Arabidopsis thaliana: one gene and its partner. The protein of the gene in region 1 interacts with the protein of each later gene in a pairwise test. Each region holds a gene or a part of one and is shown on either strand. Other genes may lie near its edges.

The links. The genes of interacting proteins can lie anywhere in the genome.
Region 2: the proteins of FBH3 (region 1) and AT1G76510 interact in a two-hybrid assay, tested with the Arabidopsis thaliana proteins (one large-scale study listed by BioGRID).

Annotation. Positions count from the first base shown.
Region 1 is NC_003070.9:18,942,460-18,948,162, reverse strand, and holds FBH3 (basic helix-loop-helix (bHLH) DNA-binding superfamily protein), read left to right. Parts: upstream 1-2,350; 5' UTR 2,351-2,549; coding exon 2,550-3,060; intron 3,061-3,339; coding exon 3,340-3,632; intron 3,633-3,747; coding exon 3,748-3,903; intron 3,904-4,009; coding exon 4,010-4,075; intron 4,076-4,159; coding exon 4,160-4,228; intron 4,229-4,316; coding exon 4,317-4,361; 3' UTR 4,362-4,716; downstream 4,717-5,703.
Region 2 is NC_003070.9:28,707,403-28,714,513, forward strand, and holds AT1G76510 (ARID/BRIGHT DNA-binding domain-containing protein), read right to left. Parts: upstream 5,547-7,111; 5' UTR 5,332-5,546; intron 5,109-5,331; 5' UTR 5,097-5,108; coding exon 4,701-5,096; intron 4,564-4,700; coding exon 4,430-4,563; intron 4,328-4,429; coding exon 4,288-4,327; intron 3,911-4,287; coding exon 3,858-3,910; intron 3,778-3,857; coding exon 3,663-3,777; intron 3,452-3,662; coding exon 3,359-3,451; intron 2,995-3,358; coding exon 2,872-2,994; intron 2,785-2,871; coding exon 2,736-2,784; intron 2,652-2,735; coding exon 2,588-2,651; intron 2,315-2,587; coding exon 2,248-2,314; intron 2,063-2,247; coding exon 2,012-2,062; intron 1,797-2,011; coding exon 1,704-1,796; intron 1,621-1,703; coding exon 1,529-1,620; coding exon of another isoform or gene 1,525-1,528; exon of another isoform or gene 1,391-1,524; coding exon 1,279-1,390; 3' UTR 937-1,278; downstream 1-936.

The DNA of each region.
Region 1 (5,703 bases):
CAGAAGATGAAGCAAAAAGATCATTGGGCCATGAATCTTATTAAGGCCCATAATGCTAATGGGTTTCGATATTTAAGTTAAGAACAAAGTAGTAAGCCTAAGCTCATTAACATTTCAGTTGGTTTAGTGAGTTTATTACTTTGGTCGAAATGAATGTACATTATATGTGTTCATTGAATTATAAGTTTTTAAAACAAAATTATGCATGCACTTTTCTAATCAATTGTAACTACACTAGATATTGACCTGAATATAGTTCAATGAAACTGAAACTGTTATTTTAAAACCATATATAGATTAATCAATGCATACTAAGATTTCAAGAAAAAGGGACTAAATGTGCTGAAAAAAGCTAAAACCAAAAAGACTTTTTGAAGACATTTTTTTTATAAACAATAAGAAAGTGAGAAAGATTCTAAATTGGTGGCTTACTATTTCTAGGAAGAGGATCTTCACGCCTAAGTTCCACGTGAGATTGTGCTTCTTCTGTTGTATTCCACCTCGATTCTCACATTCTCAAACCTTATCTTATATTTATGGGTATTGTTTTCTTTGTTCCAAAGTAACGAGTACTTTCTTGACACCAAAATGTTTCCTTACAAACAAAATATAGAAAACGATTAGAATTTATATTTAGCTTTTGCTCTGCAGTTTCTATTCTATGTTAACAACCCAGATCTAAAAATATAAAAGTTGCTAAATTCATTGCTGATTTAGGATTTTAAAAATACTATATAACAGCTTCCTGAATTCATTAATTAGTTTGTGAAAGAAATCCAAAATTTGTTTTTTTCTTGAGGATATCACCAATTTTTTAAAACTGAAGTACAGATAGATTACAAGCGTTTGATATTTTTAAGTATAATTAACGCCCAAGGCATTAATCGGTATCAAACTATTTTGCTGCATAAATATTTTGTTTTTTGATCCACTAACACAAACTGTTAAAAAAATTAAAATAATTCATTGGTTGGAATTGAATCTCTTACTACACTACAATAACGTTTAGTTAAAATGACGCTCAAATTACTCATACAATATTTTTCTTCTTAATTGGGCAACCAATTATAAAATTATTTTTCAATTAATATGTGATTAAAAAAATTACTCATGTAGTCATATTAATTTGCCGTGTAAAACTCTTGTTTCATGGATTGTAACTATGGCCCGACTCTGATTATGTCCCTTAACATGAATATAAGCACTTTATCGATTTGAATTCGGTTTGGTCATGGCCGGCCTTCCGCATAAGCCACATAAGCGGCAGCTTAGGGTCACATTTTTTTCCCCTTTGATTTTAAGGTCCACTTTTGATGAATCAAGAAGTTACATTGCACTACCATGTCATATATATTCACATTTCTGATTTTTTCTACACATATTTATATAAGTATTTATCTTTTTTCTATTAACCAGTTTGTATTTCATCGAATAGCAAGAAAGTTCAATACTATTCGACTCTCAAGTGTTTTTCCAAATCAAACACGCAAATACGACATATTAATTGAAGTGGATAATGAAATTTGAATTCGGATATGTATTAGTAGTTGTTGTTATGTACAGTATTTTGTAGATTAAATAGCACTTGGTCTTTAAACTTTAAACAAGTACTAGTATTATACAAAAACGTAAGTACAATACGTGTCCTATATTTTATGCGGAGGTACATACGTGTTTAAACGTGAATAGTTGGATTAAGTCGCTTGAAAGGTTCCCTAAAATTTGGAGCCCTAGACTGCCATATCAACAACACCTGTCTGATCCTCCAACTATTTTCATTTCATTTTATTCTTCTTTTTATATTTTTGGATTTTATTTATTTTTTTATAATTTATTAATAAATATTATAGTTTGTTTTTCTTTTTAAGTTATCCGTCATTTCAATATACGTCATATCGACATATGTCCTTTTTCTCAGCCATTTTTATTGCTTTATAAGTCAACAGCTTTAATTCCCACAATTATATATAGTCGTCGTTTTATTTTATTAAAAGTTCTGAATCATTTCAATAATTGCTGATTTTAAAATTCATTTATTAAAATTAAAAATAAGATAAAGTCCAAAAAACATTAAAAAAAAGCTGCTGATATTTTTCTTTGAAAAACGAGAAAAATCATTTAATAGCCACACTGATTGGAAGTATACCAAATTTACAAAAAATAATAATCACATCGAAAAAAAAAAAATTGACATCAAAATATTTTTCTCGAAAACAATATTTATTTTTCACTGTTACATAACATTATAAAAATGTTAACGTGGTCCCCACGTGGCCTACACGTGTCAGCATCAAGGGTTCCACTCGTAATAAGAAGACACCATAAAGGGTATTTTAGTCAAATCACAAATAAATCCCAATCTCTACCTGCCCTCTGTTGTTTCTTCCTCTCCTCTTCTCTCTTGCACATAAGTTTCTCTCACGTTCTCTTTTTTAATTTTAATTTCTCGCCGGAAACAATCTCATCTCCCGGCGAACGAAACTTCCGGTGTGGTACTGCAAACGGAGAAAAAAATAACCAAAGAAGAGAGAAACTCAAAAGCTACTAAGATGGAATCAGAATTCCAGCAACATCACTTCCTTCTCCACGATCATCAACACCAGAGACCAAGAAACTCAGGATTGATTCGTTACCAATCAGCACCAAGTTCGTACTTTTCGAGTTTCGGTGAATCAATCGAAGAGTTTTTAGATCGACCCACAAGTCCTGAAACTGAGCGAATCTTATCTGGCTTTTTACAAACCACCGACACAAGCGACAACGTTGATAGTTTCCTTCACCATACTTTTAACAGTGATGGAACTGAGAAGAAACCTCCGGAAGTTAAAACAGAGGACGAAGATGCTGAAATTCCGGTGACTGCGACGGCGACGGCGATGGAGGTTGTTGTTTCCGGTGATGGTGAAATCTCAGTGAATCCTGAAGTATCGATTGGGTATGTGGCTTCGGTTTCGAGGAATAAGAGACCAAGAGAGAAAGATGATCGGACTCCGGTGAATAATCTAGCTCGTCATAATAGTTCACCGGCCGGATTATTTTCATCCATTGATGTTGAAACAGGTTTGACTCTTTTCTTTCTAGTTTTAATTAGAAATTATTTCCTAATCTGGAAACTTTTTCTGGTAACTTTTATGAGAATATACTTAGGATTTTGATAGGACTATAATGATTTTAAAGCAACTTGCTTGTTTTGGTCTCTGTAGATTGGATTCTATTGATTTGCTATTTATTACAGATATTATCTGCAACTAGTACTTTGTTAATCACTAAATTTGGTGATGAATGAAAAGTGAAGTCTTTTTGAATCTTTTGTTCTGTTTTTTCTTGGAAATTTTGCAGCTTATGCAGCTGTAATGAAAAGTATGGGAGGTTTTGGAGGAAGTAATGTGATGAGTACAAGCAATACTGAAGCTTCGTCTCTTACTCCTAGAAGCAAGTTACTTCCTCCTACTTCTAGAGCGATGAGTCCGATCTCTGAGGTTGATGTTAAACCCGGTTTCTCGTCTAGATTGCCTCCTCGGACGCTTTCCGGTGGGTTTAATCGTTCTTTTGGGAATGAAGGGTCTGCTTCTTCCAAGCTTACAGCTCTTGCTAGGACCCAATCTGGAGGTCTAGATCAATACAAAACCAAGGTATGAACTTATAATGAGAGACGTTTTGCCATTGAAACCAACTTCTTGCGGTTGAAAATTCATTCTGCTATTGTTCTTGTTTGATTGATTGTACTAAAGAAATTCAATTTAACAGGATGAGGATTCAGCAAGTAGACGTCCTCCTTTGGCACATCACATGAGTTTGCCCAAGTCTTTATCAGATATTGAACAGTTACTGTCAGATTCTATCCCATGTAAGATCAGAGCCAAGCGGGGTTGTGCAACTCATCCTCGAAGCATAGCCGAGAGGGTAAATCTTTCCCCTTACTATTATGCTCTCAGTGGCATTGATTCCATGATGATATAATATCAGTTTCTCCAACGATTATATATGTTTCCAAAATGTTGTGGAACAGGTGAGAAGAACCAAGATCAGTGAAAGAATGAGGAAGCTGCAAGACCTTGTTCCAAACATGGACACGGTTAGATTATGCGATCTTCCTCTCTCATATTCGTACTTTCATGTTCTTTGCTCAATGTATTTATCATCTTCAATTGATATGCAGCAAACAAACACAGCAGACATGTTGGATCTTGCGGTTCAATACATCAAGGACCTGCAAGAACAAGTGAAGGTAATGATCTCACTAGTGTTGCATACTAATCACTCTTGAATCCCTTTGTTCACTCTGTAAGAAACTGAATACTTTTATTTTTGGTCAGGCGCTCGAAGAGAGTCGGGCAAGATGTAGATGCTCTAGTGCGTGAAACTAGAAGTGGGAGTATGCGCGAGTGCTAGCCAGGGAGGGAGTTGTGCATAGAAGTATCGGTTCGGCCTTTGGAGAAAAGTCGAAGATAGCAAAGTAGAGAAGAGATCATGAACAAAGCTAAATTTGGTGGTGGTGGTGAAAAGGGTTTTTGTAAAGTTGGAACCTTTTTTTGGTAGGGAAGAAAGTAGCAAGGTTGTGTAATGGTCCGAACTCCAATGCTATTGTATGTTCTTACATCCAAAAAAAAGAAAAGCAGAAGAGAAGTGATGTACAATGAGAAGCTTATTTTATTGTAACTCAAGAATAATTCAGGTAATTAGTTTATTTTCTTTTGTTAGAAACTTAGAATCATCAACAATTTCATAAATCTTGAACATATGACTATAATGGTAAAAAAGACCAACTAACTAAGATAAGTTGCTAGCTTAAAGATAATTTCATAAATCCACAAACTTTTATCTTAGATAATCAAGTAGGTGCTCGAAACATGATACGACGATTCAAGAGTTTGTTATTAAACTTTTTGTATTCATTTTTTCTTCATCTAAGTATCCAAAATCGAAGTTTAGTAGTCTCCAAGATCTGTGGAAGATGTGGTAGTCATATTTTTTACTATTTAAATTATTTACAATGGTTGATCTCCTTGACATGTGGAAAAATGGTATCTTACAAGTTACAATTTAAAAACATTCATAATGGTCAATCATGATATTTGGAATGAATCATTAAAGCTTGAATCATACATTAACTTCAAATTTTTTTTTCTTACTCATTCTTCTTTGTTATAGAGCTGAATCCAAAACTACATTTAAGACGTTCTATGTGAACACACATATTCGCTCCACTTTATCCGTTTTCTTCGTTCCTATTGTTCATATGATAATCTGTATAAAATCAAGGAATATTCTCTATATTTTAGAATTAAATTTATCATTATTAAAAATGTTTACATATTAAAACTTAAAGTTTTTGAACGAAACAAAATCTATAATATTTCTTTTAATTTGATGTTATGAATCGACCCTACGAAGCATATACATCACAGTCCTTAAGTCTTGTCCAAACAAAAAAGATGGGCAAAATCTTGCCAACATTGATTATTGTTGGGGACCATGTCTTTGTTGTTTCTTTCTTTGCTCTTTTTAGGCAGTCATGTGAAGGTGCACTAAGTTGTGGGAGTGACACGTGACAAAGATATTGTAAAATTTTGCTTCTTAAGGTTACAAGTGTTAATCATCAGCTTAAAACCAAAAAGGTTCGTTAGGTAAAAAGGTATTACGATATGATTCCTAAAACGATAATGCGCATATTAATGTGTTGTGTCCTTCTGAAATGCTCTA
Region 2 (7,111 bases), 9.8 Mb from region 1:
ATAACAACACAGCCAAGTGGGGCTTTAAGTACAAAGATGTGTGAAAATGAGGAATGCATCAAGTCCCTAGGGAAACTATGTATGGACCGTATGAAAACGTATATTTAAAAAGAAAATCAAGTGAAAGGAAAAGCTTGTACATGACCAATGCATGTCCAAAGGAGATTTGTGGTGAAATATCTTCAATGAGCTTCTAAGAGAAGACAGGTGACATTTATGTATATAAGAAATGGAGTCTCATCATGTTTACTGTTATACAATGAGAATGAGAGATGGTTTAAAAACCTCTTATTTTCATAATTTTCATATATTTGACATTTTAGGGCTTCAACCATGTAAAGAGAATAAAGGGTAATGTACTTTGAGACCTTTTCGATACATGCACTGTGACTTTATCTTTTTAAGATATCCATGTGCTCATGTCAAGTGCCTTACATGCAGTTGAGCAACGATTGGGTTAAGAAATCTTGTTCATTGTGTGTTTTATACGAACGGCTGATAAGTAAACGTAAATGTGAAGGTTTCCCTATATATACGAATTATGATTGGATAGATATATAGATCCTTTAAGTAACATATGTTCTACACTATCTAGACTACTAACTATTTTACACCCAAAAAAGAAGAAGGTCTACACTATTGTGTGGGCCATAGAGCTTGAAGAACATATGTTACTTAAAGGATCATGGTTCGAACTACAACATTTTTAAGTATGATTTGTTATTGTAATTGTTTTACATGAAAATAATATCATACTTTTTCATAAATTCTGAAGATTGGTATGAATTCGACCAAGAATCTCACGGTTGTAAAAAGAGAGAACTTAAACAAAAATTGTATACTATAGTAGTATAGTCACATATTATTAACTATTACAATAGAATGTTTTGCTAATTTTTGTCTGATGTCAACAGAAAATAGATAAGCATGAATATCTAAAAATCACAAAACGTGTTAGATGTAAATATATAATATTGGGTCTAATGCAAATTGGAAGTTGCAATAATATGTTTAGTTTTTTTCTTCAAAAAAAATTTTCTTGACTTTCCTCATCATATATATATATATATATATGAATGCAATTGTGGATCACGAAAGCAACACGACACATCTAAGGCCTAATTTTCAGGCCATTTAACTCAACCCAAAAGCTTCCAGCCCATAAAACTTCAGTACTCTCCTACAATAGGAGCCATTTAACTTGATTGAACTATAAATTGTAAGTTTTCTTTATGTGAAACCTGAAACTGAAATAAACAGAGAAAACAGATGAAAACTTCATTTTCTAAAAGATATATACCAGACACTGTGATTGTTGGTTGCATACTTGAAGGTATAAGGAACAGCTTCCTTACTAACTTTATATGGAACATCAATATTCATTTCTCTACTTTAATATTCAGAACTCAAGTCACAGTCAAACTATCACATTTGCTATCGTTTGTTTTTAGTTCTGATACAAACGAATTCCTAAAAGAAAACAAAGAGACAAATAAAGAACTAGCTCACTTGGGATGAGACCGGTCACTGCTCAAATGGGACTCGCACAAACAGTCGACCATGCAGGCTCACAACCGCTGACGTGTGCAGCGGATCGATTCTTGCGGGAAAGTTCACAACCTACCATAACCAAAATCGGAAAACAATTGACAACTATCCTTCAATTAGCAACTAGGGCTCTGTTTGGAGTGTTAGAATCTAACCTTTTTGAAGGGTGTGATTCCCCAAGGATTGTCAAGTTGCTCAGGTTGGCCTGCTATAACTAGCCGCCCTGCAGGGTCTGACTGAACACGGACCTGAAAGAAGAAATCAACTTATATTGAGGAACTAGATTCTGTGTGCAATCACACAAAAAATTACTATGAAATTCATTACAACGGACAACAGTGTGTGTATTTAGATTCGAATCCAGTATATGTTCACATCTATGTCGTAGGAATCAGTAACACTCCAGTGACAAAACACTGATCAAAGAAGCTTTAGAGATTGAATTCCAAGGAGAAAAGCTCACCTCTTCGCGAAGAAGTCCAGGTACCAGGGCAAATATCTCAAAGCAGTCTTTCTGTAAATAAAGACAACAAAAATAAATTTGGTAAGATTTCAGATTCAAAACAAAAACCCAGATTGCAGTTATTTCCCTTTCTTCAGGCAGTGTTGTTTTTGACTTTTTTTCTTTCTCATGTCTCTAGTTTCAAGAGTTGGGTAAGCGTTGCATTATATGAGGGGGGAAGCGGAAGTGGTACTCACAGTTTCTCTGACATTGATCTTCACCCAGTCTGCAGGGGGTCCAACATCTATAACCTCGGCAGTTGACCTATCAAGCCAAAACCATATTATCAATCTTTTGCTCTGATTATAATAAACGAAATGAAAAGACAAGTTACAAAATTCTCTGTATTCATTTAATCTCCTGCGCTATTTCTGAAATGGCAGTTCTTACAACTACCACCCAGAAAACAGTGCTTGTGATCTACCAAACATTGACAATGCAGGGTTTTTCGATGGATAAGATTGTATGGAATTGCACATGGTAAAGCAATCTTGCATAAGCAACACAAAAATACAGGAGATGATTATCTTTCGTAACTGTTTTTCTGATTCGTGTGAAAAAACAAGGTCCATGCCGGTTGTTGTTTTTTGTTTCTGCACACCTGAAAAGAACATTTATACACGGTGGCATTAGGTAATCATTCTGTAGGTAGTGGAGAACAATAGCCATCGCTTAGGAATATTACCAATGTTTTTGAGGTTCTTTTGCTTTGGGGTTGAATTCAAGCCTTTCTCCTGAAAATATATGTACAAACAGAATCATGTTGAAGCGTAAGTTTGTGCATGGTGAATTATGAAACGTGGTAAGGTCTAAATAGAAACCTTAACAATAGGCTCAGTAACCTCCCCAGATCCAAGAAGGCGCTGAGAATGCCAACCTTGCATAGCACGAGCTGCAGCATCTCTTCTTGTTCTGCCTGACCCTGAAGCTTGATGGCTACTTGCCTACATAAGTGCCCTTATATCAATGAGAGAAAAAGGGAAGGCATATAAAGTTTAAAATTCTGTTTTAGGGAGCTTAAATTGGTAATTAGCTGTGTTGTGTACATATTATTTCTTATGTTTCCCATATAACACAAAACGGTACAGCTTTATTCAATCAGATTGCAGAGAGTAGTATTCAACATGTTAAGCTGATATTACTCATGCCCGAAATTTCCATCTGTATAAAATGATTTTATAAAGAACTGCAGAGCTTTCACTTTATCTAATTTAACAACATGGTTTACCTACTCTTAAATTGACCTCCTCTCAAAGTGTTCACCTACCCAAAAGCATAAGAATTACACAATTTCATAGGAATTCTAACCTCCTTTTCAATGCCTGAAGACGGAAGAGAAGCTGAACCAGGAAGGTTAAGCTCACCATTTTGCCTTAAATGCTTCTCATACTCCAAAAGTGCCTGCGGTTGGAAATAAGGATACAAATAATGAAATTTCCACATCTTGATAGGATAGAAATCAACCAGACTCCATGTTAGGAAGGAGTCAATCCAAATAAACTGTTAGAAGGCTACTAAACCACGACATAAATGATAACGAAACCAGCTAGTCTCAGACACACTACTGACAAAAGGAGCAAAAGAACATTGTCTGAATCGAACATGTATGAACTAAACTGAACAAGTACAACCTCATTAATATCAATGCATATTCAGTACTTAGACCAAAAATGAAATTCACCTTTTCATAGAAAATGCGGAATGTCCAGGAGACTGTAGTGCATGTTCTGAATAACAAAAATGTGGAAAGTCAATTTCATACAAGAAAGCGGAAAAGGTTGAAGATTGAGGACAATACAAGCCATACTTTGGAGGATGGAACGATTCTCCAACTTGCCGCCATAGCTTAGATGTGGTGACCTATATAAGAAAATGAAAATCATAGGAATTTTGAATACCACAGACATAGAGTTTCAAGCAACGTGGGCGGTGGGATAGATTTGAGTATAAACTTTCAAACAGAGTAGATGACACTAAGCAAGTTCAGTTGCCAAAACACAGACCTAACATAATTAACACATAACTGCATTGACTTAATTATTTCCGGAAGCCATTCCTTGTTCTTAAATCATCTTCTCATTCATTAGCTATAGTTCACACGTTATACAACCCAAAACGTATAAATCGCATGACCTGTAGATAATAATCTAAAAGATTTTTAACCTCCTAAAGGGGAAGAGGGAGGAGAAGATCTTAGTAAACATAAAATCATTGGAAGTTCGAAAGTAGATCATTACCACATCGTAGCCACCTAACTTGATAACGGCTCTCCAAAGCCTACATTTCAAAGTAAAGCATGCAGACGTTATCACGTCAAACAAGGCATAACCAAAAGTATGGAATTTTCCAAGAATTAAAGCAACACTTCCAACAACTCACTTGAGACAATTTAAGGGCTGTCCGTAAAACTTTGGGGCTTTAAATTCCAGGAAATTCTCCTTGTTGAAGGCCTCCACTTCTTTAATAAACGCCTCTTGATCCTGTGGTGCCCCTGCTTCATCAACTTCCCTGGCCTGTATAAAAACGTGAACTCGTGATGAAATAGAGCCACTGTGATGACCACAGATCTCACAAAAAACAATATTCAACGCTTAACGCAAATGCAGGCAGACTAGTTGTCTGAAATGTGACAGAAAAGTGCTCTCATCACCTCAGCATCACTCAACAACCATGTCTTCCACTTCTTAACACTTTCTTCAGGAACATGAGGACTCGACGGATCCCCCTTCAAAGGATTTGATTCCCCAAGTGTTGTCTCCTCTTGACCGCCATCACTAGTAATCTTCTTTTCAGACTGATCAACATCACCATTCCTCCCATCAACACTGTTCTGACCACCAACCTCTTCATTAGCCTCAATTTGATTAGCAATGGGAGCATCAGATAAATGAACATCACTATCCAAAGTATGAGTCGTATCCTCTGGAACAGGGGACTTAGGTCTTTCAATAGAGTTTAGGTCTTTCTCTAGTTCTGAAGGCTCCTCTACAACACCTTTGGTACCAGACGGCACATCTTGCTCTTGCATTTCAGTATCCGCCATCATGAAGCTAATTCTCTGAGACATAGCATCACAACAACAACGCAGAATTCAAAATCCAGAAATCATAAATAGAAACGCACTATTGATAATTCCAGAGAGAATGCAAGACGCATGTAATCGAGAATTGGAACGCATCAAAACTCTGAGTCCTACTCTCTCACTGATTCGCTATAATTCAAACAGTGATGGCGACTAAAGCATTAGAAAGCAGAGCTTCACGAAATCATGGAGTACATACATAGAAACAAAAGATACGGTTACCGGTTTCGCCGGAAGAAGAAGACGCCGGAGACGGTGGAGTCGTCGCGGGTTAGGGTTCGATAGCAGCCGGCGAAATGGAAGGACGCCGGCGGAGAAAAAGAAGCGAGAAACGGAAAGATATCAATTAAACGGAGAGATATGCAGATCAAAAGATTTATACGGATGATATAATGAACACATGAATTCATTAAGAAAGAAATTAATGCTTGTTACTTGTATTAACTCTTAACGAAGATCTTAATAGCAAAACTTATTAATGATATTTCAGAAAGTTGGACTTTTACGACCCATTTACATAACAAAGCCCATTATTGTAAACTATGGGCTCAATATGTAAGGTATATTATGAATATAATCTTAGGCCCAATTAAACACGGAAGACAACGTAGGTTTCTGCTTGTCTCGATTGTTGTTGTGTTTTTATTTGTTACTAAAGATAGAGAAAGAAATATCGAAGCATTGTGCGTTCATGTTCAATATAGAGTTTTTGTTGTACCAAAAAAATATAGTGTTTGAATCTTTAATTATAGACTAGCTAGCATATAATTAACGTGATTAACTTTACAATTATGGTGATGATGATTTTCTCAGTATGTAGGTATAGTACTTGTCAAAGTGACAAATAATTGCAATTTAATGAATTGGTGTGGATCCAAAGGATAACAAATAGTATGAGCATATTCATTCGAAGCAAAATGGTACAGAATTAAGCAAAGCTTTTTGTCCAAAATTCTAATGAATTAAGGACCATTATTTTTAGGGAATAATAGTCTTTGATGCCCCACATTTCCAATAGTACAAATCAAGATTTTCAATATATGTCAAGTTTGTTATTTTCATTCACGGACATTAAAACGAGTGGAGCATTTCAATTTGACATATCTTTGTCCTTTTCTTTTTGTTACAGATATCTTTTGTTCACGTTCTTTGAATCATCATATTCATAGCTATGAGATCATAGAAATATCAAATACTGTTAATTAACCTCTTTAAAAATACATATTCACAAGTCTCTTGTGTGAGTAGAAATCCTATACAAACAAGTTTATTCATGCTCTAATAAGATAGATAAATAAGAAGATAGCTCATGACATGGCCTTCATTAGGCTTGTTGCATATACAATAAGCTTACATATAAGGAATTAAGGATGGTCTAATATCTCTTGCTTCACATGAGAAGAGTTATAGGATTCGAGTCACATAAGAGATTTTTATTGTAGTGTGTATAATATATCCCACTTCTACAATTATCCAGTCTATTGTGTATTTTTCATTAATAAATCACTAAAATTTGCACTTTGACAATATATACTTAAATATTTGTATCTCGTATATATATATATACATATTTTTAGCACTGTATGATAATTCTAATTATTCGCTAATTGTTTTTTTTTGGTAAGAATTAGTCGACTATTTTGATATTGGGGTTGTTACATTTATATCTTGCATTGAATTTTATGGACGGACACTGGTCGCAGCCTCACACACTAATTTGAATTTTCCGTTATCATTAATATTCGATCGTTTCGTTGGTACGCTTCCATCACACAATTAATTTAAGCCACCACACTATTATCTTATTCTCATTCAGTTTTGTTTCCATTTCAAATTTCTTACGACGCATATGAAAATGTACATTTTTATAACAATTCCCCTTAAAAATAGATGACAAAAAGAAAAATGTTTTTTTTAAAAAAATATATAAAATAAAATAAATAATAAATCTTCAACAATCGATGAACACTTTGCAATAT